4 linked regions of the Rhinolophus ferrumequinum genome follow. The protein of the gene in region 3 purifies or fractionates together with the protein of the main gene of each other region. This does not show direct contact. Links are inferred from orthologs where the notes say so. Each region holds a gene or a part of one and is shown on either strand. Other genes may lie near its edges.

The links.
Region 1: the proteins of LIN28A (region 3) and IGF2BP3 purify together in Homo sapiens (affinity purification with mass spectrometry; 4 studies listed by BioGRID and IntAct, with this or other methods). This does not show direct contact. The link is inferred for Rhinolophus ferrumequinum from reciprocal best matches to the Homo sapiens genes LIN28A and IGF2BP3.
Region 2: the proteins of LIN28A (region 3) and ZCCHC3 purify together in Homo sapiens (co-immunoprecipitation; 3 studies listed by BioGRID and IntAct, with this or other methods). This does not show direct contact. The link is inferred for Rhinolophus ferrumequinum from reciprocal best matches to the Homo sapiens genes LIN28A and ZCCHC3.
Region 4: the proteins of LIN28A (region 3) and KRI1 purify together in Homo sapiens (affinity purification with mass spectrometry; 3 studies listed by BioGRID and IntAct, with this or other methods). This does not show direct contact. The link is inferred for Rhinolophus ferrumequinum from reciprocal best matches to the Homo sapiens genes LIN28A and KRI1.

The regions. Positions count from the first base shown.
Region 1 is NC_046303.1:17,191,674-17,199,559, forward strand, and holds the start of IGF2BP3 (insulin-like growth factor 2 mRNA-binding protein 3), read left to right. Parts: upstream 1-4,872; 5' UTR 4,873-5,221; coding exon 5,222-5,396; intron 5,397-6,808; coding exon 6,809-6,869; intron 6,870-7,886. UniProt on the Homo sapiens protein: RNA-binding factor that may recruit target transcripts to cytoplasmic protein-RNA complexes (mRNPs). This transcript 'caging' into mRNPs allows mRNA transport and transient storage.
Region 2 is NC_046306.1:23,262,172-23,269,390, reverse strand, and holds the start of ZCCHC3 (zinc finger CCHC domain-containing protein 3), read right to left. Parts: upstream 3,004-7,219; 5' UTR 1,843-3,003; coding exon 628-1,842; 3' UTR 1-627. Other genes in the region: C23H20orf96 (uncharacterized protein C20orf96 homolog), read left to right, coding at 6,165-6,248, 6,820-6,937.
Region 3 is NC_046292.1:18,088,822-18,095,743, forward strand, and holds the start of LIN28A (protein lin-28 homolog A), read left to right. Parts: upstream 1-3,910; coding exon 3,911-3,941; intron 3,942-4,405; coding exon 4,406-4,590; intron 4,591-6,922. UniProt on the Homo sapiens protein: RNA-binding protein that inhibits processing of pre-let-7 miRNAs and regulates translation of mRNAs that control developmental timing, pluripotency and metabolism.
Region 4 is NC_046301.1:39,742,215-39,750,036, reverse strand, and holds the start of KRI1 (protein KRI1 homolog), read right to left. Parts: upstream 3,005-7,822; 5' UTR 2,959-3,004; coding exon 2,847-2,958; intron 2,733-2,846; coding exon 2,659-2,732; intron 1,984-2,658; coding exon 1,878-1,983; intron 1,559-1,877; coding exon 1,453-1,558; intron 1,199-1,452; coding exon 1,144-1,198; intron 1,069-1,143; coding exon 1,019-1,068; intron 747-1,018; coding exon 650-746; intron 561-649; coding exon 483-560; intron 194-482; coding exon 63-193; intron 1-62. Other genes in the region: CDKN2D (cyclin-dependent kinase 4 inhibitor D), read right to left, coding at 4,009-4,368, 5,350-5,490; AP1M2 (AP-1 complex subunit mu-2), read right to left, coding at 7,625-7,647.

The sequences.
Region 1 (7,886 bases), on a different chromosome or scaffold from region 3:
ACGTTGCAAAGACACCACTACCTGGAACACACCACTGTAGCTGTTAGCTTTTTCAGTTAGTGAAATTAAATATGATTATTCGTTTGTTTTGTGCTTCCCTAAGCCAAACTTGTATTTATTTTTTCTCACCGTCTCCACCAAATGTCCGTAAAATTAGAACATTTCAGCTACAGAAATCGCTAATCCTTCAAGGTCGGTCTCAGCTTCTTTGGTCTTAGGACAGCTTCAACGAAAATATTGGTCTCGGCATAGCTGATATTACCCGGAGTTTTTCGTTTGCTTTTTTTTGGAGGGGTTGTTTGGTTTTGCTTGTAACAATCCCGTGGACCACAAAGGGGGTTAGAAAAGGAGGGGGCTGAAAGAGTGGATTTCTCTAGAAGCCCAGGAAAATTCAGGCATCTAGAGACGTATTTTGCTGTTGTAATTTAAAAAGACGTATACATTCTAAGATGTTGGAAACGAAAGAAACGGTGTGACTTCAGCTACTTAGCATGGCGCAAACCCACGACCTCCGGGCGCTGGACGTTGGGGGAAGGGAAGGGAGTCTGCGGGCACCATGCGGTCAGCCCAAGGGGCGGGCTCCACACGCACACGCAGAACTATTTTCTACTCTTCCTTAGTCATCTCCCCTTTTCCTCTTTGGGGGTTGGGGGGCTCACAGTTAAAGGGCAGGAAAAATGAAAGCACTAAGAGGGGAACCCAACCTCAACCCTAAGCAACAACAGAACCAATGAGAGGGAGTAAAGGGTTATTTTCGCGCCACAAAAGATGGAAATCCAGGGGTGGCTAGCGGGCCAATGAATGGAAACCAGCAAACGGCTCCGGCGGAGGCAGCCGACGATGATAGGCTCCCTCCATCCACCAATCGGGTGAGAGTCGAAGACCCCCGCCCCCTCCCCAGCTAGGGGCGGTGTCTCTCTCCACGCCGGTTGCTCAACTTGGTTTCTGCGAATCGGCCCCCGTGCTGCACAAAACCCCGCCCCGGGGCCGCGTTTGCGCGCCCTGGGCGCCTGTCTCACTGTCCCGCCCCGCCCCGGGCAGAGGCGCTGGGTTCAGCGAGGGCTTCTTGCGGTCTTTTTCCTTGGGTACCAAACATTTCCCAGCGCAAGGGAGCCCCTCGCAAAGTCGAAACAGGCTGGGAGCCCGGGAGGTCTGCTAATCGCACGCTGCTTGATTCGCCCCCGCGGGCCACGGAGGAGGACCTCAGGTGGCGTCATACAGTGAGGGTAAAGATAGAGGCGCCCCCCGACCCCCAAGTCTAACCAGTCCACGCAGCTCCACGCGGACGGACAGAACCCGAAGCGGAGCCAGAAGGCGCCTGTCCCGCGGCAGAGCCAGGGCCGTGCAGTGTTCGAGGGCCTCCGAGGCTAGCCGGCGGCCGACGAAGGATCTTCCCCAGTGTGCGCTGCAAGGATCCCGCCCTCTTTCTCCCGGCAGAGCCAGGAGGAAAGGAAACAACCCCATCTTCTCATCTTCTGGGGCACCATTTTTTATTTTAAACAAAAATAACTGAAGGCAGGTTCAGAAGAGGGCAGAGCCAGGTTACTACTTATCACGCATCAGGTTTAAACATCAGAGCCCAGGAGAGCTGGTTGAAGGAGCAAGAATGATGTTAAAAATACGTCGTAGGAGGCCCAGGCGACGCGGCGAGCATTGCGTGCTCACCCGAGGACTTCGTCTCCCGCTTGTCCCCGAGGCAGCGGGAGTTAGGGGTAACAACGAGAATTTCCTTTCCCCCTCCTTTACCTGCTCAGCCTTCGGTCATTACCTGTGGATACCGCAACGGTAACCGACCTTCTAAAGAGCTTTTTTCTCCTTTAATATTACACTCACCCATAAACATTTTTATTGCCCTTCGGTCAGCAGATGAGGAGGTGCAGCTGTCCAAAGAGTAAACAGGCTGCAGTTGGAAAGACTCAGTCGCATCAGAGCACATACAATGGGTGGGAGTCCTTCGTGAAGTTAACATTAATTAGGAGCTGCAACTGTTTCAGGAAGAACTTGGAGTAGCCCATATACATAGTTAATTTCTTGTGGGAGATTCATTAAAAGATTGCGAGTTAGATTGACTTTATATTCATTTTTGAAAATCCACCAAAGTTATTTTTGCAGTTGAAATGCCAATAAAAAACAATTACCCATGCTCTTTTTACTCAGCCATTTAGTGTATACTTATCTCTCAGTGCTTGGAAGAATCGAAGTGGACTGTGTCCACCTCCCTTTTTGATGTGTGAGCTTATATAACTCGTGTATGTTTTTAAGGTCCTAGACGGAGTATCCAGTTTGTTACAATAATACACAGATTAAGTTCACAAGAGTCCTAGGAACATATTTCATCAAAACAGCACACACTTGTTTTAAATTCCAGCTGTTAGATTTGTTTGATAGTGACAGACAAGCATGGGCTAGTATTTATGGAAAATAAACAATTTATCCCATGCTTTGGAAGTAGATATTTCCTTTGGTCTCAGTTTTAATAGCAGCAAATTCAGTCAGCAATCCAGAAGGTACCATTCAACTGACTTTGGAAACAAGCTAAACATACAAAATTTGTTTTTATGAAAATCACTAAATGCTAAATTATCAGAAGACTCGTTTATAACATTTAAAGAAGTATTTAGAAAAACACAAATGAATGAAAAGCATATTTTTCCAAATAGTTTTTGAGCGCATGCAACAGGTCCATGAAAAATAAATTCACAATTTTTGATATTTTGAATACCACAGAAGTCATAAATACATATTTTTTTCTTTTTTAGAACCAAAGTTCTCTTTTTAAAAACATCAAAAGGAAACAAGCTCCTTTTAAAAGTTAAACCTAGCCATAAACTTAAATTTTCACCAAAATGTTCAAGATAGAGCTCACAAAACAATTCTAAACATTATACAAAAACACATTTGTCCTCTTTATCTGATAAAGTAAAAACATTTTCCTAAGTTAAACGTGAATGAAAATACTGTGAAAGTGAATTTACGTTTAAAAAGTTGGATTTGCTTGCCAGGAAAAAAACCTAGTAGAAAGAACAGTTGCATTTAAAATGGATGATCTGACACCTTCCGGTTCCTTAACACAAAATTACAAAATAAGTTTCTCTTAAAAGAAAAAAAACGTAAATACTATTTATATCATGTAATAATTCCCACATACTTAAAAAATCACCAATCATCTTTTTATTGGAAAATATACTTTTAAATGCCATGTACGGGTTTGACAAAGGGAAATTAACTATCAATTGTCATAATTACTTCAGCTATTTCAGTGTAAATCACAATAGTGTCTATTACACAACACATTTTCCTACTAGTAAGAGTACGAAGTGATTAAATAGTTTTGTATGTAATTCTATGCTATATAGAATTCCATTCACTTATTTAAAATAAGCATTTTGTTTTTCATGGAATACCTGTTAAAAATATACCACAAGTATCTGGTACAAGTGAAGCCTTTGAGTGGAGTAGACAATCATTAAACGACATTTGGAGATTTCCAGCACTGCGTTCATTTCCGTATTCCTCGTCTCCAGTCCACATTTTGTTGCCCAGGAAGGCTCCACCGGGCCCAGACCCTCCCCCTACACCCAGCATTGTACTCGTTACGTACAAGGGAAATTCTGAATGGTTCTCATGGCCAAATGCGGGCAGAAAAGAGGCAGAAAGAGACTCGAATAATTTTTCAAGTGCGAATAACACCTAGGGGTAACGCAGAGCGGTCTCTCTGTTTTAAGAGTCCCAAGTTCTCCAACTAAAATTATTTAAATGAAAGTACGAGCCTACCCCACTCCTCCTCCTCTGGAAACTACAGGAAGATATGGTTTCCGTTTAAATACCGACTTTTCCCACTCTGTCTTCTCTGCTCCGGCCTCCGGGGCCCCGGGACGCCCCTATCCCCACGCCAGAAACCGCCACCCTTGCGCTCCCCTCCCCCACTGTTGGCCAAGCCCGCCCCCGGCCTCATTTATCCCAGAGCCTTTTCTGAATCGCGCAACCAATGGCAATCGCGAAGCCGAGAGCCACTGCGAGCGCAGGCGGAGGCGGAGGAGGTGTCGCCCAGACACCCGCCCAGGACGCCGCGGGCTCCCATCCCCCACCGCCCAGGCTTGGGGGCCCCCCCCCCTTCCCCGGTGCCCCGGCCCGCGAAGGGTGCAGGGGTGGGGCGCCCCTGCCCGCCTCTCCCGCCCCTATCCACCCTACCCCCTCGCCGCGTTTCCGCCCCTGCCAGCTCTGGAAACGTGCTCGCGGCTTTGCCGAGGTTACACTTCTAATGTCATCCAAGCCACAAGGCGAGTTCGGAATTGTGACTCTTTGCTTTTGTTAATTACCTATTTTAAGAAATCGAATATTTAAAACTCCGGTAACTAGAGCTGAGGAATTGCCTAGTTAGTACCCACACCCCATCTCATTTAAAAAGGAAAAAAATCGATATTCCAACCCTACTCCCCTCCCCCTCAGGATCCGCCCCGACCGGATAACCCTTTCTAAACTCCGTGGTGACAATCAGCTCAAGCAGCCGCGCTCCCCTCGCTCGCCGGCTGCGGCTCCTTTAGCGTTTCCCCGGCTGCCTCCTCCCCTTTTCAGGGTCCCTCGCCCAATCTCCTTTCCCCTCCCCCTCTTCCTCTCGCTCGCTTTTTTTCCCCCGAAACCCACTCTAATTGAGGCGCTGGGATTCCTCACGTGAGACGTTGATTTGTAGTTTGAACACGTGGCTCATTCAAAAAGCCGGACACTCGGAGCGGATTTTTTCCGCCTCCTGCGCCTTCCTCCAACCCGATTCCCCTCCCTCCTGCCAGTCACTCTTGTGGGTTTTTTATGGGGAGGCGGCGCCTGCCCTCACGTAGTGTGATATTTTCACAGTCCTCCGGCCGAAGCTAAAGGGGTTGGGGAGGAAGAGACAAAAAGTAGTTTTCCCCCTCCTCCTTCTCTTCTCCTCCTTTTTCTCGCTAAGCCCGCCTCCTCCTCCGAGTTAGGAAGACTCGTTGATGCGTTTGGGTTCTAGCAAGGCTTTTCAATTTCTCTCTCTTTTTTTTAATACCTAGAAAAGGGAAAACAAGACTCCTCGGATCTGATTTTTCTGTCCTCGTTCTTATCCTTGGTTCTTACTGTGTTTGTGTTTTTAAACGGCGAGAAGACGAAGGGAACAAAACCCTCCGGGTCCATCCATCCCTGTGGGTGGTTTTAATTTTTCTTTTTTTCTCCTAATTCTTTTAAACAACCACTCTTCACAATGAACAAACTGTATATCGGAAACCTCAGCGAGAACGCCGTCCCCTCGGACCTGGAAAGTATCTTCAAGGACGCCAAGATCCCAGTGTCTGGCCCCTTCCTGGTGAAGACTGGCTACGCGTTCGTGGACTGTCCGGACGAGAGCTGGGCCCTCAAGGCCATCGAGGCGCTTTCAGGTGGGCCCCGGCCTGGCCCCGCCGGGCGCCTGCCCCAGCCCTGCGCCTCCGCCTGCCCGGGCCTGCCGGGGTTGAGGGCCCGGAGCCAGGCCCGCGGCTGCCGCCGGCTTGTTCACGCAGGGCTCCGGGCGAAGGCGCGGAGAGGGGCCGAGGCCCCGGCGCCACACGCGTGGGCTCCGGGGTGCTTCCTCAGCTGGGCTCCCACCCGGGCCCCCGTCGCTCCCCTCCCCCCGCCGGGGGTTTGCGGGCGCAGGGCGGACGCGCTGTCAAGAAAGCTCGGGCGCGGGCTCGGAGGAGGAGCGGGGGACCGTGGCGGGGCCCGGGGAGCGGCGCCAGCCGGCGCGGGACCCTCAGCGCTCGCCCCGCGCCCCGCCCGGGCCCAGGCGCGTGCTCGGGCTCCGGCACGCCGGGCCTCGGGGGCCGGCCGCGAACGCCTGCCTCTCCCTCCCTCCTTCCTCCCTCGCTCTGCTGCTTACTTATGGCATTGGAGTCGCTGCGCCGCTCCCGCCCCAGACCCCGGCAGTGGGGGAACGCGGAGTGGCCTCGACCCGGCTGCGGAGTGAGGCCCGCCGCGGGCTGGTGCTTCGCACCGGAGGCCCCGCGCTGCCTCTCCACACTGTGGGAGGCGGGTGAGTGCGACCTGGGTTCCATGCTCCGCCGTCCACGAGACAGGGGCAGGTGGACAGGGGCGGCCTGTGGTCGCTAGGTAGGGACCCGCTGTTCTCCGCACCCGGCCACCGGCTGCGGCCGCCGGGGGTTTCGGGACGCGATCTGCGAGGGCGGGGGACGGTGGGTAGGGGGGCAGCGGGCCCGGCCGCCCCCAGGGGAAGGCTGTGCTGGGGTCCCTCTGGGATCCCGGAGGCTTTCGGTGTGGTGGGCGCCGCGCTGTCCTTCGTGCGTTGTCCATTGGATACCGAAATGCACCTCCGGGCGTTCGCTCCTTCTGCACCCTCTCTACTGTCCTCGAGCCTTTTCCTCCGCTCCCTGTTCCCGGAGGGCCCGGGCGCCCCCTCCTGAAGAGAGCCAACACAGCCCCCTCTCCTAAGTTTGTCTTGTGTGTGTGTCCAGGGAGGTGGGCGGAGGGGCCGCGTCCATCCTGCGACTGTCGTGGGGTTGGGTGACCCCCCTCTGGTGGGCGGGGGAGCTCTGCCAGTGGGTAGACTGTGACTGAAGTAGCGGGGCCGCCAATCGACTCCCCTCCTCACCCATCTGTAAGTTACACACACAGCCGGGAGGGGGTCAGCTTCCCACCCGCGCGGTGCCGGGCTTCTCTCCCGGTCTTGAGTCGCGTCCGGATTCCGTTTGGGGGTCTCAGGAGGCCACTTGTGTCGCCGCTCAGAATGTGCAGGTCCTTTGGGCGCGGAGAGCCGCTAAACCCGGCCAACTGTCTTCCTCCTCTTGTGTGTCCGCAGGTAAAGTGGAACTGCACGGGAAACTCTTAGAAGTTGAGCATTCGGTCCCTAAAAGGCAAAGGTGAGCTCATTTATTCTGTTCTCGCCGATTCTGTTCTCATTCCAGTATTGGGAGGAAAGACTATCAACACAGCTGAAAACAACTTTTCCTCTTGTACTTATTGGGCGGCTGTATGGCGTGGCGTTTCTCGACTTTTTCTCTTGTATTTAAGTGTATGGCAGGTGTGTTTGCGTGGGTAATGCTGCAAAGGAAGAGAGGGCTTATGTGTGGCCTCTGCCACTGGAGTAGTGTTATTGGACTAAGTCTCTCGAGGAAGCTCTCCCATCTCAGTATTCTCTGGTAGAGGAGGGCAAGTTGCTTCATCAGGAAATCAGTCGGAGGGCAGTTTTTGGGAATCTGTAACTCTTGGGAAGCAATGGGTGACCCCTCCCCCACCACACCTATAAGTACAGGGTAGGCGAAAGCAGCTGTGGACACACACGAGTGTGTCCTGCCTTTCTTTCTCTGTCCTAAGCTGGCGGCGACCAGCCTGAGAGGCCAGCCCCAAGTCTGAGGGGAGAGGGAGTGCCTTTACCCTGTTAGCTGGCCAGCTGGGATTGGAACACGTGAGTGAACCTCTGGCCTTCTTCTGCCCAGAAGCGCCTTGCACGCACTCCGGAGGCAGACAGGTTTCTGCAAACCGGTCTTTGTCTCCCGCTTCTCTCCCCCATCCTTAAAAAAAATATTTTTGCTTACGAATTACCACCAAGAGATCGTGGAGACTAAAGATTTGTGCTACTTCAGCAAAGGGATTGCACTTTGCAGAGAGCATGTGTCGTGTGTCATTTTATAGAATGTTTGGAGGCTGTGTTTTAACCTCTAGAGTAATTGGGAGAAATGGCTCTTTTCTCAAGAGCAGGCCAGATCCCTGCTCTGTAACTCTAATTGGAAAGGTGCTGCACCCTCCCAGTGGTGCTAGGGCTGGCCTATGCCTTTCTGGGTTTCACAAGGTGGGGTTAAGGTTCCTGCCCTTTCCCTTCCCATCTCCCCACTCCTAACCTGGGCCAAACAATAACGGGGAAGTTAATTTAAACTAGG
Region 2 (7,219 bases), on a different chromosome or scaffold from region 3:
TATGAAAAATGGCTTCTGAGCCACTGAAAGAGCTATCACAAAGTCCATGTGTTTTAATGCCTAAGACAGGCCCCTGGCCACCATTCAGAGCTTATTGATTCAGATTACATACACTTCTAACAACACTGGTTTTACAAATTCTCAGACCACACAGATTAGAAGCAGCATATTAAAAAAGCCACAGTCAACAATGTTCTTAAGTCAACAAAACACTGATGGAGTGCTTATCATGTGTTGGGCCCCCGTACCTAGTGCTGGGGCATAAAGATGAGCAAGGCAGCCCGAGGCAGCTTAAAAAGGTGAAAACTCGAGAAGACAAGGCGTGGGGAGTAACAAATACACACACAAAAGTCCCCCAATACAGAAAACAAACAAACAAACAAAAAAAAAAACGGGAGGGGAGACACATCTCCACACTACTGTCTCGGTAGTCGTTACAGATGAAAGTCACCAATTCAGAAAAGGCTGAAATGGAGTAAACTCGGTTTAAGAAGGCAGAGAGAGATGTCTCTTGTAGGTTTAGAAAGATCTCCTTCAAACGCGATTTTAAAAAAGGTTTAAAAAAAAGTTTTGGCACTTAAGAGGGGTAAGCTGGCTCTGTGTTCACCCTGGCAGGTAGGCGGGTGTTCAGTGGCCGGCCACGCCGGTGAGCTGAGCTGCCACGGAATTGTGAACTGCTTTGGGACACTGGGCAAAGGCGTGTCCTCGCTTTCCACAGAGGTTGCACACGATGCCTTTCCGGCAGTAAGGGCTCAGGTGCCCCTCCTCACCGCACCTGAAGCACCTGTCCTGCGTGCAGCTGCCGCTCATGTGGGTCCGGGAACCACATTTAAAGCACGTCTTGGGCTGCCCCTTGTACCAGCTGTAGCCCCGCTCGGCCCCCAGAAAGAAGGCTCCAGGCAGGTGCCTGACCCCGCCCTCCCCCTGGCGCAGCTCGATCTCGCACTTGTACTCCCCGGTCCAGATCCCAAACCTGTCGGTCACTTTCACGGGTACGGCGAGCACATCGCAGTGGCGCTTGAGCCAGGTCACGATGTCCTCCACATCCACGGTCTCGTTCCGGAAGAGGATGAAGAGCGTCTTCAAGCTGGACTTGCTCCGCCCCAGCACCACAAAGTTCTCCCAGCAGTCTTCCTGCTCGCGCTTCTCCTCGTAGACGCGTAGGAACAGGGCCAGTTTCTCCGCCGAGCGGAAGCTCACGTCGAACTCCCGGCTGCCGGGAATCTGGATGACCGCGTAGATGTCGCTCGGGTCCATGCCGATGGAGCGCAGGATGAGCGCGCCCACCACGAAGTCCCGGGTCGGGCAAGCGCCCTCGTCTCCCTGGAAACAGATGCGCACGAGGAAGCGGCCCTTGCCCGGGCCGGCCGCTGGGCCCACCGACGCCACCGGTTCATCCTGGGGGGGCAGCTCTGCCTCGTCCTCGGCTGCGCCGGACCTGGCTGGGGACGCCATGGCCGCCGTCTCGGCCTTCTTTCTTTTGCTCGCCTCCGCTGCGCCCTTTTTCTTGCGGGGGTCCGCCGCCTCGCCAGCCGGGTCTCTCCGGCGGCCCTTCGGGTCCCCGCGGCCCGCGGGGGGAAAGTCACTGAGGCCCGGCGCCGCCAGGCTCGCGGGGGCGCCTAGTGCGCCGCCCGCGCCGCTGCCGCTTTCCTCCTCCCGCCGCGGCGGTCGTGACTCGCGGAACTCGCCCTTCTTCTCGGCCAAGTTCTTCACCACCTGGGCCCAGCCCATCTTCTCGCGGCCGACCTCGGCCTCCTCGGCCCGGGCTGCTGGGCGCGTGGCTGGCAGGAGCTGCGGCCGCCCCCTCTTCCTTTCCTCCTCGGCGCCGCCGCCGGTGGCCATTTTACCTCCTTCCCAGCATCCTCCACTCACTCCCGCAGCCGAAGTGCGCCCATCGCGCGCGCCCGCCCGCCAGGGCGGTGGGGTTTGGGTGGGTTTCCCCCACCCCCCCAGAAATTTGATGCTTCTCTCCCCCGCCCTGCCAAAAAATATTTACACGCAGCGCCAGGCGGCCAGAGTCGGCCGAGAACCCCCTGGTAACGGACGAGCCATGTTTCCGCCAGGGCTCGCTCCAGCCCCGCCTCCTCGGCACCGACGCGGGATGGGGGAGTTTGGAGCGCGTCCCTGTCCCTTGCGAGGCTTTGGCAGCCTTGGGCCTTGCTCTCGAGGATTTGGTATTTCGCAAGCGGTTCTCGATGATTTCATTTAAGCAGGATTACTAAAGGCCCACAGCCCAAAGGCGGGACGGAGTTGAGAAGAGCTCGCTCATTTTTCTTTTTCATACCGTTTTTGTTAAAAACAAGAACAGAACTTAGCTCTCCTTCCTCCTAAAGTGCACCACAATGCATTTGTTCCCCAACGTTGGATTATGAACATTTTCAAGCATACAGAAAGTTGAAAGAATTTTACAGTGAACATTTTCCCTTTAATTTTTTACTATTTCAACTTTTTATTATTAACATTTTACTATACCTTATCTCACCACATCTATATCCATCAGTCCTTATTGTTATTTTTTGATACATTTCTAAGGTCATTGCATTGTTTCTTAGAAAGATCTCCATGGTACTTATGATGACAATTATAATATATTGAGGGCTTAAGTGCGCCCTACTGTTCTAAGCTCTGCAAGTTTTATCACATGGGATCTTCCAAAACAATGCTGTAATTACACATTTTACAGGACGCATGGTTTTGGAGATGGTTTTAAATCATTTGGCCAAGTGGCAGAGTTAATAGGCAGCCCCACATGTAAGTGGCTTATATTTATTAAACCGCTTTGCTTCTGCCATCGTGGATCAAGGACTAGTTGTCTCAGACTCTCCAGGAAACCTCCTTAATACACAACTCCTTAATACACAGATTCCTGGCTAAAGTTAGTACTGGACAGAATCTCTATTCCTCCCTCATCTGTCTTAACTGATGCTTTGGAAGCAGTGATAAAATTTGGGTGGATTTACACAAGGTTGCCAGTTCCATTCCTCGACTCCTGCAAGGGATGGTGGGCTCTGCCTCCTGCAACTAAGATTGAACACAGCACCTTGAGCTGAGCTGCCTCCCAGATGGTTCAGTTGTTGGTTGGAGCACGGGCTCTCAACCACAAGGTTGCCGGTTCGACTCCCGCAAGGGATGGTGGGCTCTGCCCCCTGCAACTAGCAACGGCAACTGGACCTGGACCTGAGCTGTGCCCTCCACAACTAAGACTGAAAGGACAACAACTTGAAGCTGAAAGCACAACAACTTGACTTGGAAAAAAGTCCTGGAAGTGCACACTGTTCCCCAATAAAGTCCTGTGCCCATTCCCCAATAAAATCTTAAAAAAAAAAAAAAAAAGTTTGGGTTTAATACCACCTTTTGTCAGCTTTGTTTTCTTTCAGCATATCTGTGCATTTCAGGGTGCTTCAGCGACCTTTTTGACTTTAGTGAAAGAAAAGGTGGATTGTGGAGTCAGGGCAACCTTAGTTTGAATCTGACTGCTTCAAATCTCAGCCTTGTCACATGGGGGCCAATGAATTCAGTTTTCATAGCCTCAATTTGCTCATCTATAACAAAGGGATATTAATATCTACTCTCAGATGACTAATGTGGGGTTCAAAGAGATAACTTGTGTTAAAGAGCTTGGTCCACAGCGGGTTTTCTAGATAGGTTACAGAATTGTTAATTTAATGGCTCAACAATGCTATCAAGGAACAGGTTCCCTTCACTTTCCCCTCTACTCCAGGTAACTCCCCTCACAGTTCCACAATTCCGGGAATGTCACACAGATATGACAGTATCTAGCTGCAGATGAGGGAATGTTTTTCTGCAATGTCTTTTTTTTCTTTTTAAGTGTGATAAAAATCTTGCCCAAAATTCTCTGAATAGACTTCTCACCCTGTCTCCTTGGCCAGACTTTGATCACATGCCTTATGACTAAACCTGTAACTGGCAAGGGAAATGGGCCCACCAAGCCTAGCTCAGACCAGTCATGACTGCTTGAAGCTGGAACTGGGACTGGGGCTGGGGCCTGCCTCCTCTAAAGCCAGCATACCTGAACAAGATCAGGGGTGTTAGCTGGGTGGAGGGGAGAAATGGCTGTGGGGTAGGTGTCCACCAGGGTCTTCCCTATATTGATTACTACCTCCTACTTTTTAACTGTTTCCTGGTATAGAGCTCCCCTGCTGGAGTGCTGTGGTACAGTGGGCTCTGTAAATGGGGGTGCCCCACATGGTGATTTCCTCAGCCCTAGGAGCAGCCAAGAGGGTCCTCGAGTCCAAGATGGCCAGAGTCCCCAGGCTGATTACAGTCTCATCTGTTTACCTTAATGTGTAGTGCAATTTTAAAACATTTTCCTATGATTTTTAAGAGGAGGAAAAGTTGTGAGCTCTGACCTAGTATTCTTTAGTAACATTCTCCTATTGAACTTTAGGTGATTTCAAATTATTTGCTCCCTTCAAATTATATTAAACTGGAATGCACTTTTAAATGTATGCTCTATCTAGCAACATGGGGTGTGGAGAGAGACCTGGAGTCGGGCAATAGTGGGAGCAAAGACTGTAATCCAGGCGTGAGAGGAAAGCAGGGTATATGTATGTGTGGATGGTGGTAGTAAGTGGTCTGCTACTAGATGTACTCCAAAGGTATTGCTGACAGATTTGGATGTGGGATCAGAGATGAGTCAAAAGATAAATCAAGGATGACTCCAGGAAGAGTTGTCATTTTGAGTTGGGGAAAAATGTTTCTGGGGAAAGATTGCATCTTAGTTGCCTACTAGGTACCCAAGTGGAGATGGCTAACAGGCATTGGACTTAGGTGTCTAGAATTCAAGGGAGAGGCTCAAGATGTAAGTCTGGGAGGTGTCTGGGTAGAGATGGCATCTGAAGTCACAAGATTAGAAGGGAGCACATGGAGTGAAAGCAGATAGAGAAAAAGAGGGGGCCAGATCTGAGTCCTGGGGCAATCTGATAATAAAGGGAGAAGAGGATGAACCAGAAAAGGAGGTAGGAACGTGGCTTCCTGGATGTCACGTTTAGGAAGTGTGTCAAGGACGGAGTGGTCCATTGTGTCAAATACTGCAGATGGGCCAAGTAAGATGAGGACTGAGAGATGACCATGCGTTTTAGCTAAGTGGAGGCCACTGGTGGCATTGACAAGGGCAGTTTCTGTGGAGAGTGAAAGCCTAACTGAAGGGGCAGAAAGGAATGGGAAATATGAGTAGAGTAGGGAAACCTCTCTAGGAGTGTTGCTGTGAAGTGAAGCCGAAATGGGAGGGAAGCTGGATGGGAAGTAGTCACTTTTTTAAAAAGAGAAGAAATTAAAACATGTTATGCTGATGGGAGTAATGCAGAGGAGAGGATGATGGGAAAAAAGGAGAGAATTGCTGGGGCAATAGCTTAGTGAAGATGAGAGGATAGCACTCAGTGCACAATTGTAGGAATCAGTCTTAGTAGGCAGTTTATACATAGTTACAGGAGGGAGGCAAGTAGGTGGGTAAATAAATGAGGTGATGTGACCTTGTGAGTTTACTGATCCCCACGGCCGTCTTAGTGAAATAGGAAGCACAGTCATTAATTAGCCAAGAGTAAGGAGGGGGAAGGAAGTGATGTGGGTTTGATGAGAGGAGAAATATGACATAATTCTTTAGGATGTTGGGCGGGGCCAGCTGAGGGGTATTTGAAACCAAGTTGAGAAGAATGTGGAGAAAGCTACATTTTGCCCTGTGAGATTAGTCCCTCTAGGCGCTCGGTAGTCTGCGTCCGTTTCCTTGGAGACGGAGACACGAGGAAGCGTCTGGCCTCGTTAAGTTTGAGTGGCCGAGGTTACTGCGCGATCCACTCTGAGACAAGGAAGTTGGAGAAGTGGAATAAATAGGCATCCCAAGAGATCAGGGCCTCACGGACTCACGACTCTTCTTATGTTTTCCCCAATGGCACGTGTCTTTCCGAAGTAGGTAAAAGGAGCATTGCAGGGTGGCGGGGTGCGCGTGCACGCCCCCCCAAACCTCTCTGGCCGGTCCTCCCGCAGTCTCTTGACCCCGCCCTCTCTCCACCCACATCTCCCTAGCCCCGCCTCGCCCTCCTGTTCTCTGGGTACTGGCTTGGATCGTGTTTCTAGTGCATTGTGGTTTTGGGGTCTAGACCCCAGGACTGTTTCATGTTTGCTGCTTGCAGCGCCAGGGGTTGGGAATGAAGGAAGTTCTTTCCTGCCCTCACTCTTCCAGACCCAGCCACTTTGGGAGTCGCTCCACAATCCACAAGTCCCAGATTGCGGTGAGTATGGGAGGGCTAGGGCGGGGACCGGGGACTTCCTGACCCTGGGCCTGGAGTCCATCTGCCCTCCACCCCGGCAGTGGTGACCCTCCGGGGTGAGAGAGTCTGGAGACCTGAATTCCAGGCCTTGCTGTGTCACACGTTTGCTGTGGGACCCGGGGCATGCCTCTGAACTTCAGTTTTCTCACCACCTTATCAGAATGTAAGGGTATATTATGCTGTTCTCTTATTTATCTCTGATTGCAACTCTGCTTCCCTGTTGGGTCTTTTCTGCGCTTTCTGTTTCTCACAGTTCTTTGCACCTCTCACAGCCTGGATGTGCTTAGTAAGTTCTGGCTGGCTGATAAAAAGGATGATAGCCAACATTTGTGGAGCACTTGTTACATGCTTTACAAATACCTCTCAGGATCCTTGCACCAACCTATCGAGGTAGGTTTTCTAATTAGATTCACTTTACCGATGAGAAAATTGAGGCTCAGAGAAGTAAAGTCACTTGCTGAAGGCCACAAATATCTGTAAGCTGGGATCTGAACCCACCAGGCTGTGTGACTGATTGTGTCATGTTTGGTAGGATTATCTTCCATGGCAGCAGTCCAAGCAGAAAATCAAGCCATCTACTCTGCCTCCAGTCCTACAAACCAGTGGCCATAAGAAAAACAAAATGAAAACTTTGATTAGCGTCCTGCCAGGTAGGTAGAGGTACTTGGGGGCTGGTATGGGGGTTGGGGACAGGATGGAATGGATGCTCTTAGACCTTGGTGACATCATTTATATTAAGGTAAGCTAACTGCTGTAATGAACAATCCCCAGACTTCAAGTATTAATACAGAAGCTTATGTCTCATCTATGTCAAATGTGTTTATGTAATGTATTTATGTGGGTGGGGGTTGGGGAGTAGGAGTTAGTCTTTTCTACATCATCATTCAGGGATCCAGGCTCTTTTAACGTTGTGGTGCAGACATTTTGTAAGG
Region 3 (6,922 bases):
CCATAGTCTTTTTGTTTGCACATATCTTGTTCCAATGGTAAAATGAGGATAACACCAGTGATGATAGCAACATACTAGAACTGTGCAAGCAATGGGAGCTTTGGAGTCAAATATGTGAGTTCAAATTTGCCTCTGCCATGTGTTAGCTGAGCTACATTAGGCAAGCTGTACTGATTCATTGAGCTTCAGATCCCTCTCCTGCGTGGTGGCAATATTAATACTTATTACTTAGAGTTACTGACAGCCTTGAACAAGACAAAAGTGCCTGATTCTCGATAAATAATAACTGTTATTATTACCTATCAGAGTATAAACTTCACAAAGGTGGGATTTTTGTATGGTCTATTGATGTAGTCCCAACATTTAGAATAATACCTGCCACAGAGGAAGTACTCAATAAATATTTTTAAAATGTTGGATAAGTAACATTATTGCTAAGACCTCTTTCAGCTCTTCCTTTTATAAAGAGATGAATCTACACAAGAGGAACTTGGCCACAAAACAAAGTACACCTTTGTTTTGTCTAAAGAGCCTTTTTTATTCTCTTTTACCTAGATCTTATTACTCCCAGAAACCAATGCACAAGACATTTGCAATACTTAGCTCTATCAGGTCTTGTCTCCCTAACTAGACTGTAACTCTTGGAAGGCAGGGACTGTTTCTTCCATACATTTTGGGGGGTACATTTTTGGTCATCATACAATTTATACATATTACTTATCTAATTCCTCCACCAAACTTGTGAACTAGCTTAATGACTGGATTACAGTAGGTACCTAACAAGTTTTCACTGAGACAAGGATCCAAATAGTAAGATTTGGTCAGGAGTCTCCATCTCCCACAGGGAAACAACTCATTGGGAATGAGTTGTTGGGAGCCATATCTTCCTCCCTAAAGAACCCTCTGCCTCCTTGTACATTTGCAACCTTATGAGGACCTGATCCCCTCCTGAGTTTGTATTGTTAGACTCGAGAGAGGCAGCCTAGGAGAATAAGTTTTATGACTATTGTAAGAATGTTTATCGTTTCAATTAAAGCCTATTCAGAAAATGCTTCTCAGGTATCCTCTGTGAGCCAGGCACTGTACTAGGTACTGGTAAGGATGTGGGGAAAGATGCAGAAAGAAATAACACATGCATGGTCCCAGTCCTCAGGAAGCAAATGATCCAAGAGGTTCTAGATTATAGAGACAAGCAAGTGCTCAATAACTATAATAATAGCAATAATTCACATTATTAAGGTGTAACTCTATGTCAGACACGATTTTAAAAGTTTTACCTACAGAATCTACTTTTATCCTCATAATAATTCTGAGAGTAAAATATTTTCATTATCTCCACTGGACAACTGAGGCATCTAGAGATTAAAGAACTTGCCCCAAGCCGCAGAGCTGTAAATAGTAGAGCTGATAGCCAAACATGGGCAAGCTGACTTTAATGCCTGTGCTCCTATGAAAAATGATAATAATTAGGGAAATAATTTGAAAACAGATATTAGTCTCTCTTCAACTCTAGTTTTCTTTGAATCAGAAAATGTCTCCTCTTTCTTCACCCTCTATGGCCACATGTATAGTTATATCCCTTTTGCTGAAGGGGGCTTGAGATCCCTACACTGCTCTAATAGAATCATGTATTGCTGGAAATACCCTCTGTTTAGCGTTCAAGCGAATCCTTTCATTTGTTTCAAGTGTGTCAGGGTAACTGGGGGTTTGAGAAGAATCAGGTTTTTTGGGAAGGACTTGGAGGTGGGAACTCAAGAAGACATTGTCAAAGCTGGGAGCTGGGTCCAGGGGAGCGTGCCTTTATTCAGCACCGTGGACAGAGCTCCCAGAGTCCTCAGGACCCTGGACAGAGAAGCTGGTCAAGCCTGCCGGAGGGAACAAATCTCACTTGAGAGCAGCTCAAGCGAAACCAGAGCGCTAAACATCCTTTTCCCTCGCTTCTTCAGCTAGACCTCAGTCACTTGAATTCAGTCATTCCTGAATCTTCGGGACAGAGGTACAGGGAGTGAATATATTTTTAAGGGCGCTAATAACGGGAGGGTGATAAGACTCTTAGGTGGGGAGGATTATACACATTTAAATGGCTTTGGTGGTTGTTCTCGGGGAACTCTTGCAAAACCTAAATTAGGGTCCTCAGTTGGGAGTAGTGATTACTAATGATATTTGTTAATGATAAGTATTTTTTAGGCTGAGTGGCAAAGGGCTACAGTTCTTATTATCACCCATCGCCCGTCCCTCGTCCCTTACACTCAAGTTTCAGTCTCCTGGAGAGCACTACATGTAGGAAAGAGAATCTCCACAGCCCCTTGCTCTCCTCACCATCTTCCCCTTCCCTACCCCCACTCCTCTCCTTTCTCTTTCTCAAATACACACGTAAGCGCGCAGAGTGAAAAGCACGAGACGTTCTGCACACTTGATGGAGAAGATTGAATTCAGAGCAAGCAGATGCCCCCGAAAGCAGGCTCTGTCCCTTTAAATGGGTTGTAACAGTGGGGGAGGGGAACTGGCCGGAGCTGGCATTGTCCAGTTTGAACTGAGCACCGGAAGTGAAGGGGCAGGGCCAGGGCCGTGCACTGAGCCCCGGGCCATTGTCCATCTCCGACCAGGGCACTAGCCACCCCCCTGACCAACACTCTTTATCTCCTAGAAGGGAAGGCTGCCTCAAAATGAGGAGATCCCCGACTCCAGTTCTCTCACCAACCCCACTGCGGGGAGAGAAGCACACTTTAGGATGGGACTCTGAAACTGAGGGTCTGGGAACCTGAGTGTCTGGAGCACTGAAGGAAATGCCTGGACCCACCTACCCACCTAGCCCCTCTCCCTGAAACGGATAGGGACAGGATGGGGATAAGGGCAGGATAAAGACAGCTGGTGGAGAGAGGAACACACGTCAAGCCTCTTTGGGTTCCTCCTGCTCTCACAGAAAGCTCCACATGGGGTCAATTTTAGACACAGATTTGGAAGGAAAGAAGGAAGGCTTCTTTACACAGTCAATTAGGAGCGCTTTGAGAGGTCCAGAAAAACTCAGTCGGTGACTCAGGGAGGCAGAGACATTCAGTTAGAGATAGACTTTGAGAGACAACGCCTTGGTCTGGACTGGAGATCAGCCCTGTCGGGTCTCCAGCCTCCCCCCTGCTTCCCATCGCAGGCTTCCTAGTGTCCTGAACTCCAGGTCTATCTAAGCACACGAGGGTGGGGGGTGAGAGCGGGTCAGCGCGGAGCAGCCGGGTCAGCTCCGAGGCCTGTAGGGGAAGGGAGGGGGAGGGGCGCTCAAGAGCTGGGGGAGGGGGAGGGATCATCCATTTCTCCCTTGACAGGTGGTTTGTGTCTCTGATTGGCCAGCGCTGCCAGGCTCACACCTCCCTCCCCCAACTCTCTGGAATGTATAATTATCTGCGCGGGGGGTGGGGGTGGTGTGTGAGTGTGTGTGGGAGCAGTCACATGGTTTTAAAACTAACCCCCTACAAGCCCCCCACCTGTATGCTGCTTTGGGGACCCCCAATGAGTCCTTAAAGTGCAGGATCCCAAATCCAGGGGTACTCAAGACTTCTAGGGCTGACGGGCTCCATCTCCAGTTGTGCTCGTGGGGAGGGGGTGTCAAACCTCAAGGTTCTGAGAAGGGACACCCCAGAGGTGTCAGAGACTGCAGTAGTGGGGGAGGGCAGGAGCTGGAGCCGGAGGGGAAGGGAGGGGAAAGAAGAGGGAGGCGAGGGGAGGGGGCTGCCCGCGGGGGGTTGGGTCATTGTCTTTTAGAATTTGGGAGCCTTTGAAAAGCCGTGGGCCCTCCCACCGCTATTGTGCTGGGGAAGATGTAGCAGCCTCTTCTCCGAGCCACCCCTTTGCCTCCCGACTTCTCTGGGGCCAGCAGCCACCCGACCTGGGGCCCGGGCCGCGGGCTTAGCCGACTACCATGGGCTCTGTGTCAAACCAGCAGTTTGCAGGTTCGAGCTCGGGACTTATTGGGGACACCCTAAGCTGCAGGGTCGCCCAGGAGCCACATAAATGGGAGGTGGGAAAGTGTCCCCCAGGCTGGCCGAAGGCCCCCAAGTCTGCGGCCTCCTGCTTCAGGGGGCCATCTGTGGAGTAAAGAACCCTGGTGTCCCAGCGGCGTGCACACCAAGGCTACGAGGGCTGGGGGAGAGAAGAGGAGGGGCCTGTCCGGCGGTCTGTCCCCGGGCAACGTGTTGTGGGAAGAGGAGCAAAACTTTCGGGGCACCACTGGCCTCTCAGTGTAAGCTTGGGGAGCGCGGGAGGCAGCCGGGACAGGTCTTTTAATCGCCGGCTGCTTAGTAGTTGCAGCCTCTTGGGTGTTCAGCCGCGGGCTGGACACTCGGGTCTCCCTGCCGGGCCTCAGAGGGTCCTCCAATTCCGTGGCCCCCCAGCTGAGCGCCCTCCCAATCTCCAGGTGGCTGCGCCAAGGCGCCGGAAGAGGCGCCGGAGGACGCGGCCCGGGCGGCAGAGGAGCCGCAGCTGCTACACGGTGCCGGCATCTGCAAGTGGTTCAACGTGCGCATGGGGTTCGGCTTCCTGTCCATGACCGCCCGCGCCGGGGTCGCACTCGATCCTCCGGTGGATGTCTTTGTGCACCAGGTGAGATCGATTCTGGTAACTTTGGCGGGGAAGGGGGTGTTGGCGCGCGCATCCAAGGGTGGGCGGACGGACTCGGCTATTGGATTGAGGGAGATCGAGAGCCCTCATTGTGCGTTCCCATCTTTGTGGTGGCACCCCAGTTCTGGTCCCCGTTAACTCCACGGGGAGGAGAGTGTGGGGCAGAGCCGCTGATCAGCACCTCCCACCCGCTTCGGGGAACCCCTCTGACTTACCACGTGTCTGTTACCTTTTTCCCCTATGAAAGGGGGCAGGGGCAGGGAGGTGACCCCATGTGGCAGAAACTAAGGTTGTATTGTGCTTGCCGCTGGGGGGAGGGCGAGCAGGCCGGCCAGGGAAGCACATGCTGGGCCATAGCAGGGCCCTGAGCGCCCAGCGCCTTTCTGTAACATGTGAATGGAGCTGGGGGGCGGGAGAGGGAAGGAAAACTCTCTGGGATCCAACGAGGGTAAAGCTGAGGTCAGCCGGGTCTCCTCACCCAGGTGGTCACCCGAAACTCAAAACTCAAGCCCTGGGGCCTATGTGGGTTTGGCAGATCCTTGAAGGATCTATTTGGGGGCTTGAAATTCCTCCAAGGTACGGATCTCAGGCACTCAGTTGGCTGGGCTTCTGCTGTCCAGTTCCTACCAGGAAGGAAAACCTAAGGAGCCCAGGCCTTAGATTCCTGGGCCAGGCTGGGAACGAGTTAGGTGGCAACACCAAGTTCTCAGTTAAAGCAAGGCAGCACAGTGGGGGTGAAATTCAGTGTCGCAGGGCAGGGGGTGGAGGGAGGTTAGCCTCTGGACCTACTCTCCTCAGCTTGCCATTTATGGCCCCAGACAGCCATTCATTGCGGTCCTAACATTCCGGGCCTCAAACAAGGAGCCAGAAGACTTCAGGTTTCCCTGGCCTCCCCTTACCTCTCACCCCTTCCTGAATGTCTTGAAAGCATTCCGGTGGTCCTGGGACACCAGCCACCCATAACAACCACGTAAAGGAAGTCACTGCCTGTGTTTCCTCCACTGTTGGAGTTTTAGGGTTGGGCCTGGGAAGAAAATTACTAATCCCAGGCCGAGTAGGTTGGCACCCAGGCCGGGCAGGGAGGGGTTACTTCGGGAGGTTGGCTTTAGGATCCATGGGGGAGGGGAAAGGAGGATGTGGGGATTAAGGGTTGGAGCCTGAGGGATGGTATTCTGGAGGGGGAGGGGTAGTGAAGGGAGATGCTGGGTGGACTGGCTGGGGGCCCTCAGTGAGGACCTAGAGTGGGGGAAACCAGGGAGATAGATTGTGCAAGAAGATGGCGAACCCCACAGTTAGTGTTGGGGACTTGGTGTCACTGAGCTTCTTGAACATCTGCCAGGAGGGCCTGCAGCAGGAGGATGCTCACCTACCTACCCCACTAGTTGCACCCGGTCTCACCCCCTCCATCAACTAGTTCTGGCTGGTGACTTTGCCCCCTTTCCTCTCTCATTTACATATGTGAATGATAACCCACAGGAAGTAATTCTGGGAGAAAGAAGGGAATTGGCCTCTTTAGATCTATTAAATCACTTTATTACAGGAACCAGCTTTGAATGGCCCTCCTCAGCAGGGTGGCCAGCTCCCCCTTTCTCCCATTTATTTGATCACAGAGATTAAAATCTCTCCTTGTCTGGAGATGGACTGGACAGCTTCCCCAACTTTGGGAGATTTGGAATAAGTGAGACCCAACATTTTCTTTCCTCCATTCCTAAGGTTGCTAAATAGGGAGGGGCTGAGGGGAAGGAAGCTTCTCATCACCTGGGGTTCCTTGGTGATGTGGGGAAGGAAGAAACTTGAACCTCAAGATTTCTTTAAGCTGGTCTAATAATCAAATAGACATTAGATTAGCAAGAGAGAAAAACCAAATTTAATACATACATATGTATGGGAACTCCGCATACATGAGACAGATACCTCACACGCACAGGAGGTTCAGAGATAGAAGGGAACAGGAGTATATAAGACATCCTTAGCTAGGGATGAGGTAAGGTACTTTGGGGGCTTCAGAGGGTCATTGCAGGAATATAAGAGCAGATGTTTAGTAAATGGAAGATTGTCCTGCTCTATAGGTAGATTAAAAGAAGTTATCTCTGATAATCTCTTATTATAAGCCAGGCCCCTACTTCAAGTTCTTCTAGGTAGTTAAGGGAGGGGCAGATGTCTCTTTTGAGGCCCCAGCTAAACTTGCCTTTATCTATATGAAACAATCCACGTACCACAGAACCACATCTTGGGGTGGCTAGTTCTGAACCCCCACAGTGATAACCAAATCCCAATAGCAAGTTGATCTGTGCCTCACTGTACTTAACCTTAG
Region 4 (7,822 bases), on a different chromosome or scaffold from region 3:
GGTACCTCTTGCTTTCTGGCTAGTATTGGCTCCAGGGCCCTGGTGGGGACATGGCTACTCACCCTTCCTCCTCTTCCTCCTCCTCCTCCTCCTCATCTCCCTCCTCCTCATAGCGTTTGTTGAGGATATAATCCCGTAGGAACTGCTCCCCTTCATCCAGTTCTGGGTTGTTCCAATATTCCTTGAGGTGAGTCTGGGGGGTGAAGCAGTGACAGGACCCACGTTATAGCCTCGGACACAGGGAAGGAAGGCAAACATGCGTACTAAGTGGATTCAAGTGACAAACTTCACAGCCAGCCTGTAAAGTAGATGGGAGGCAGTATCCCCATTTCATAGATGTAAAAACAGGCCCAGAGATGGGTGCACCCTATCTCCAGAGTATGTGTTCTTAGCTACCCTTTCAAGGGTTGGTTTCTGGAAAAAGGTTGGTTAGAGGCGGGAAAGGCACTACAGTCCTTCAACGACTACGTGTGGAAACTCACCAGCTCTCTCAGGGTCTCAAGGTTCTGAATCTCCTTTTGCCCCTTCAGCCATTCGACATAGTCAGCATGGTCCTGGGCCTAGGGGAAGGCCAGCGCTCAGGGTCTGCAGGAACCCCAGCGCCTGCTCCCTGCCACGAGCCTGGGTCTAGCAGAGCCCCAGCACTCACCTTCTCCTCCTTGGTTTTGGCACGTTTTTGCAGCAACCCAGAGCCACCTTCTCCAGCACTGTTCTCATCCTCACTGTCCTCCATGAATGCCCGGAAGCTGCTCACACAAGAGAACAAGTCTCAGGAGAGGTCGGCTGGCCCCTGCCCACTGCCCCAAGATTAACCCTGTTCACAAGCTCAGAGTACTTCTAAGACGTAGAGGGCCTTATCAAGCCCATTTAACAGATCAGGAAACTGAGGTATGGAAAGAACAAGTAACATGCCCAAGAACACAGAGCCATTAAGCAACAGAACAGGATTTGAACCCAGGCCTGTTCAACCCCAGAGCCTCAAATGCTATCCATTTGGGCACTTGCCCCGCCAGCTCACCTTTCCTTGAGCTGTTGCTGCTCCTCCACGAAACTTTTTGATGAAACCTGCTGCAGAGAGGATGCTGTGGGCCTCAGGCTCAGCCTCGGGCCCCTCAGCCCACACCCGGCCTCCACCCCACCCACCTGGAGTCTCTGATTGGAGGTCTCCCCATCTGAATTCTCCTCGTCGACATATTTGCTGTGCAAGGAAGGGTGGGGGCTTCAAAACAGACTCCCCACAGCCTGTCCATCCCAGCGGGGTGAGGATGCTTATGAGTAGCAGGTAGAAGAGCCAGTGGGGTACAGGCAGTTACCAAGGGGCCTGCTCGCTGGGGTTCCCTCAATTCTGGTGAGTCACTGGCTTCTTCCCACCCCTGTCCCTAAGCTCCCCATGTGTCTGACTGTTTTGGGAAGATGGGATAGGGGGTGGTATGTGTTAAGCCTTCTCCTCACCCTTCTTTCTCCAACATAACCTTCCTCTCGTAGTCCTTCAGGTACATGGGCCGCACCTTCTTTTGCTTCTCGGCTGCCAGCTCCTCCTCGCTCTCCGAGGACGTTGCTGCAGGGCCACCAGAAGACACCTGCCATCACTCACAACCCCCTTCCTTCCCAGGGAGAGAATCCCACTGGGCTGGGCTAGGTCAGGTAGAGGCTTAAAAGCCACCAGTTCCCTGCTATACAACAGGTATCACACCAGCTACCTCCTGGCAGTAAGTACCTGGTGGTGATCATTCAGTGAGTAACTCATGCTCTGAACAGTACCAAGCACACCTAAGACCCTCTGCTAAGCACTTTTGACATAAAATGATTCCTTATATAGTCACAACAAACGATAAGGCAATGAGGAACCTGGGCCTTGGGAAGGAGCAGCCTCAGACCTGTTCTCTGGTAGAAGGTGGCATCTTTCTGATAAATGCGGGGGTCCTTTTTCTTCAACAAGGAGAGAGTCCTGTAAAAGTCATGCTCCTGTTGGGGGTCAAATTCCTAGGGCAGAAAAAGGATCGGTGAGAGACTTCAAGGGGGGGGCAGTAAAGAACCGGGGCAGTTGAATTAAGAAGGTGTTGGAATTAGGGTGGTGGGGGGGGTATACATTAGGAGGAAGGGGGATGCCACTGGAGAAGCCAGTGTGGCTGGGTGAAAGTGGGAGAAGGGAGGGCAGGCCACACCTAAGTACAGGGTAAGAGACAGAAGTAGGTAGTGGGGCAAAGGGAGGGTACTTCCTGGGACAAGAGATTGACATGGGGAAGGTGGGCAGAGAGAGCACATAGTGAACAACAGGAGGGGCTGGGCTGCACAGTGAGGTGGGAAGATGCAGTAGATGTGGGGAGCAACCCCATGAGGCAGAGATGTACCACTTCCGGGACAGAGTAGGACACAGAAATGGTTAGATTCTTGGAAGAGTAAATGGAGGACAAAGGGGTCGCACAAAATACATCAGTATGTGCAGATGGACACTTGGCCGGGGAGGGGGACGAGGGGGATTTGGCAACCCCCTGGGGAAGGGAAGGGCGCTATCCCTCATGGGATTGGGGACGGGGTTAACCGCTCTGGCAGGAAGCAATGGAGTCGGGGGTTAGCCACCCCCTGTAGTAGGGGTCAGGATGCGGTGGGGGGCTTGAAAGCCTCCCGCACGTCCGGGAGCGGGATGAGGAAGCTCACAACGCGCTCGTCGCTGGAGTCTGACTCGGAGCTGGAGTCGTCGCCGCCGTCTCGGCCCTGGTAGCGATCTTTCACTGCGGGGCACAGACGGGAGCCCCCCTGAATCAGCCTGGGGGGATCAGATCAACACCCCCACTTCCCGACGACCTGCAGCGCCGGCGCTATGCGCGCATGCGCCCTGCACTCACGTCGCTGCAGCTCCTCGCGTTCCCGGTAGCGGCTATACCGCGCGGCGAACGCTGCGTTCACCCGCAAGGGTGACGGCCCGCGCGACTCCGGCATGGCGGCTCTGCGGCCCATTGCGCACGCGTACCGCGAGCACCGCCCCTCACAAGGAGGCAGGTCTGCTCTTGGCCCCGCCCAAACGCGAGCTTTAAAGAGGGCGGAGACTCGCGGGCAGCGCTTAACCCCACCCCTGGTTTTTCCGGGATTCCTTACGCCCCTTGACCGCAGCCCCCGCCCACGGATTACGCCTCAACGGGGAAGGCTGCTGCCACCGCCCACCCCACCCAACCCCCGGAGCTCCGGCACCCAGCTGACATCTGGGGGCCCTTTCTCCACTCGCGGTTTCCTGCCTCCCTTCCGTTCCGACAGCGCAAACCGCTGCTCCACCTAGCGCACTCCACCGTGGTGCCCTGACAATTACCACTCTCTCCCCTTCCCCGAAGCATCCATGAGCCACGACCCCCGTGCCCACCGCCCCCACAAACATCCTGGACGTGCGACTCTCCATCGCAGACTCAAAAATCAGAAGCCACCAGCGCTGTGATCATGCACAAGTCTTAATTTAATGGGTAAAAACATTAAATTATCACACACAACTTTTTTCCATAAAGCTTAATAAATAGAATCTTTTTCTTAACATTGTACAAGAGACTGGAAAACAAAATATGAACTCATGCTACCCTTTTATTCATTTGGAACTCCCCCCTCCCCCCATGCTTGAAAGCAGTGTGCACACTTGAGGTCTCTGGGTACAGCCAGCCAAAGTCGCCAGGTTCCAGGAGCCCTGGAAGCGATGACCTCACTCTGGGGCTGAAGCTTTAAACGCTCTGCCCTTGGGACTCATCTGCAGCCCCAGCAGTATGGGGCTTGAAGAAAACTGAACCGTTTAGGTGGCTGTTGACTGCTGGAGCCCTTCTCTGCCCAACACACCAAAAGGGGTGAGAAAAACAAATGAGAAATGCCCCGTAAACACACACCCCCCAGAAATCAACACCAATAAGCCACAAACTGGTGCCCCTCCACCTTTGGCAGTGGGCAGGAGGAGCAAGAAGAGAAAGTGTTTCTTTCCTCCTTTACTGACATAAAACCCAGCTGGGTCCTGTTGCTGGAGTGGGTGGCCCCAGGTCACAGCGGTGCCACCGTGTGCCGTTGCAGTATGTCCATGAGATCCTGAGCCCCTCTTCTCCGTGCCAGCTCAAGGGGTGTGAGCCCCCTTGCATCCCTATGATGAAGATCAGACTCAGCAGCTAGGAAGCTGACCACAGCTCTGTGGCCCTCTAGCACTGCCAGATGGATAGGGAGCGCCCCAGTGTCATCAGGTGCATTGACATCAGCACCATGCTCTACCAAAACCTTCAGGGTGTCGAGGAATCCAGTGCGGGCTGCATCATGGGCTGGAGTGGTGCCAGAGGCATCCTGGACATTGGGGCTGGCACCTTGCTTCAGGAGCTCCAGGGCGATGGTGGGGCTGCCAAACATCATGACCTGTGCGAGGGCAGAGTGTAGGGGGTCCTTAAGGGAGGGATTCCAGGAAAAGGGGTCACTGGAGAGAGGGGTCATTCACAAATAGGGAACAGCAGAGAAGAGGTCCTCTGGAGAATGAGGAAAGCCCAGGGAACACAAGTCCTTGAGGGCAGCTGTTTGAGACCCTAGAGAACAAGGTCTCTTAAGGAATAGGGACCCCCAAGAAACTGGTCACTCCCCTAAAGATAAAACATCCCCCTAGGGAATAGCCCCTGTAGGAATTTTCAAGGAACCTTAGAAGCTCCCCCAAGGAACCAGAGAACACCCCTCAGAGAAGGGAAATTACCAGGAAATATAAACCCCCCTCCAGGAAATTGGCCTCATAGAATGAGAACCGTTTCCCCAAAGAACTTGACAGCCCCCTCACGGGAAAGGAGAAACCCCTTCTCAAAGGGATAGCCCCTCCCATATAATCAGAATGCACCCCTGAGCACCTGACCCCACAAGAAATGGGGTTCCCTTATAAAATGACTCGCACGGAATGAGGACTACCATGCAATCTGTAACTGTTCCTCCATTGGAACCTCACATAATATACCAGAAATCTGAAAAAAGCCAGGGATGGAGATTCCTGTCACCCCCGCCCCGCAAAGAAACTGGATACCTCTCAGATAATCCCTTCTTCCATCGATGGAATCCCCCCATAGAAGCCCAAAGAAACCAGAGCCGTCCCATGAAACCGGGATCCAAAGAAGTTGAACCCTCACTCATGGAATAAGAACCTCCCCAGGGAAACCGAATCCCCGGCGCCCAGAGAACAAGGAATACTCCAGAGACAGAAAAACTTCCCCTCCCCCATCCTAACACCATCCACCACCCACCTACGAAAGGGGACCTCAGGGAGCAACGTCAGCCCAGAGATGGAGGACCGGATCCCAATTAGCCACCACTGGGGCCAGATTATGGGATCCCAGTTCTCGCTGCCCGCCGGCCTGGCCTCACCTGTAGTGCCGTCTTGCCGAAGCGGTTCAGGACGTCGGGATGCACCAGCTCGCGGTGCAGAAGGCGGCGCACCTCCTGCACGTCGCCCCGGGCCGCGGCCCCGCTCAGCAGGTCGCCGGCGCGGACCTCCTCCAGCAGCATATCGACACTGGCGGCCTGCGAAGCCCCCCGCCCCACCCCAACGCGGTCAGTACGGGACAAACCACGGATGCTGGCCCGAACAACCCTCCGGCGGCGCGCCCGGCCTGAGCCAGGGTACTGGCCCGGCTTGCCAGTCGGAGGCTCCGGTGCGACCCCTGCCCTCCAGGCGGGCTCCTCCCCTCTGTCAGCCGGTGGGTCGCGAGGGGCTGGGAGCTGGGCCCAACCCTCCGCCACCCGCAGTGCCCAACCCGGCGCCCGCCCCTTGGGGGCTGGGTCTCCCCCCAACTCACCCTCCCTCCTCCTCGACGGGCGGGGTCTCTTCTGAGCCAGTGCGGCCGATGCGGCCGCCTAGCCGACAGCCGGGAGGAGGAGCCAGCGTGCTCGAGGCCCCGCCCCCTAACGCCACGGATTTGTTTTCTTATGAACTCGCTACATAGTAGCCCAGCCGCGTTGCCCGGGGCGCGACCTTGCGGCGCCCCGCCCACACATCCAGCGTAGCCAATGGCGACTCGTCGCCGAGGAAGTTTTGCGCTTCGGTGTGGGCGGTGCCGCTCCTGATTGGTCGAGAGGCGGCGACCGGTGGACCGCCGGCAACGGCGGGGTTTTCGGTTTTTCAAACGCGCCTGGCGCGCGGGAAAGAGGGCCGGTTTAACTGACCCAGGGGAGAAAGGTCAAGGGGTATGGTAGCGCGGGCTGCTCCAGGACCTCTGCACCTCCGAGGGAAAGGGAGGCAGGACTGGGGTTGCCCAGTCCAGGGTTCCACCATTCACTCGGTGATAAGCATTTATTCTCCCTTACGAGGCGCGGAGCGTTTTTTCATTCACCCACCGTCAGCAGGAACCGTTACCGGCGCTGGGGAGCGCACATTCAAGCACCTAAATAATTTAAGATACCGTTAAACACCGTGAAGAAAATAAAACGGGAAAATGAGAGTGGGTGAAAGAAGGAATCATGTTCTGGCTCAGACTGAGCTAGCCCTGGCACAGCAAGTGTAAAGGCGAAGAGGAAAGTTCATGCTGCAGCTGCCACGTGGTTGAGCCTGGGAGGTGATTCTTACAGAGGTCTTCATTCGAACATTTACTGAACACCTACTGTGTACTAGACGCCCAACTGTTAAGCGAGCCGAGCAGCACCTGCGTCTGGGGCGTCTACGTTTAGGGCGAAAGAAGACAACAATTAAGTCCTTTCAGAGTGGTAAACGCTAAGGAGCTGATAAAACGGAGTAAGTGGTAGTCTCTTGGGAAAGGAAGGCCATTGAAATAGAGTTTAGGGAGGGCCACCCTGAGTTGGTGACATTGATTTGATACCTGAAGGTACGGGAAGAAGCCATGTGGATATCTAAGGAAAAGCATGCCAGGTGAAGGGTACTACAAATGCAAAGGCCCTGTTGTGTCCAGGAAGAGCGACGTAAAGAGAAGGTTGTGGAATGGGACTGCAGATCAGGCTTGTGGGCTGCAGGGAGGACTTGACTTTTAACAAAATGGGAACTATGGGAGGGTGTGAGCAGAGGAGCCAGGATCTGACTTAGAAGTCATAGCGCCCTCTGGCGGCTATGAGGGGAATTGACTGTGGTGGGGGAGGGAAGTCCGGAGCCAAGGGTCGGAGGTGAAGGCAGCTGGGCGAGCCCAGATGACCTATCACCAGGGCTGAGGAATAGATTTGTTGTTCACTCCCATCCCAGCAATTCAGTCCCTAGCATCCCCAGTCCCCGGCCAAGAAACATACACAGTGGCTAAATTCATCTTTTTAATGCCATTCTAAAACGTAGAGGGGTGGGCCTCTGGGCTCAGCAGCTGTGAAGGAGAAGGGGCTCCAATACCCCCTAAGACAGGTTACTGGCAAGAAGGCACTTTTGAGGGGGCCTTCAAGCCCCTCCTCTCTTTCTTCATATAAAAGTGGAAGTGGGGAGTCCGAAGGCAGAAGGAGGTAGGGAGACCATCCCTCCCAGCCTCTGGGTAAAGGACAAGGCCGGGAGGAGGCCAGGTGCTGGGAGCAGGAAGCAAGAAACTGCTAAGCCAACCAGGGCCTGCTCACATACACCCTCCCCACATCCCCTCCCTCCCTTCCTCTAAAGTGTGCAGTCAAGGACTAAGGGGAGGGAGGCCCATGTTCACGCTCCCACCTCTTCTCCCTTCTAGCTGGTACGAAGCTGATAATCTGCAAGGAAACAATGGGCAGGGCCTGATTCAGAACTGGAGAAAGGGAACAGAGGGACAGTCCCCGCCCTTCCCCAGCCCAAGTGCCCATGAGCAACCAACCCTGTGAGGATGTAACAAAATTAAGGATGGGGTCAAATATAGGAACTGTAACCACAGCAACAAGCCTATTTCTA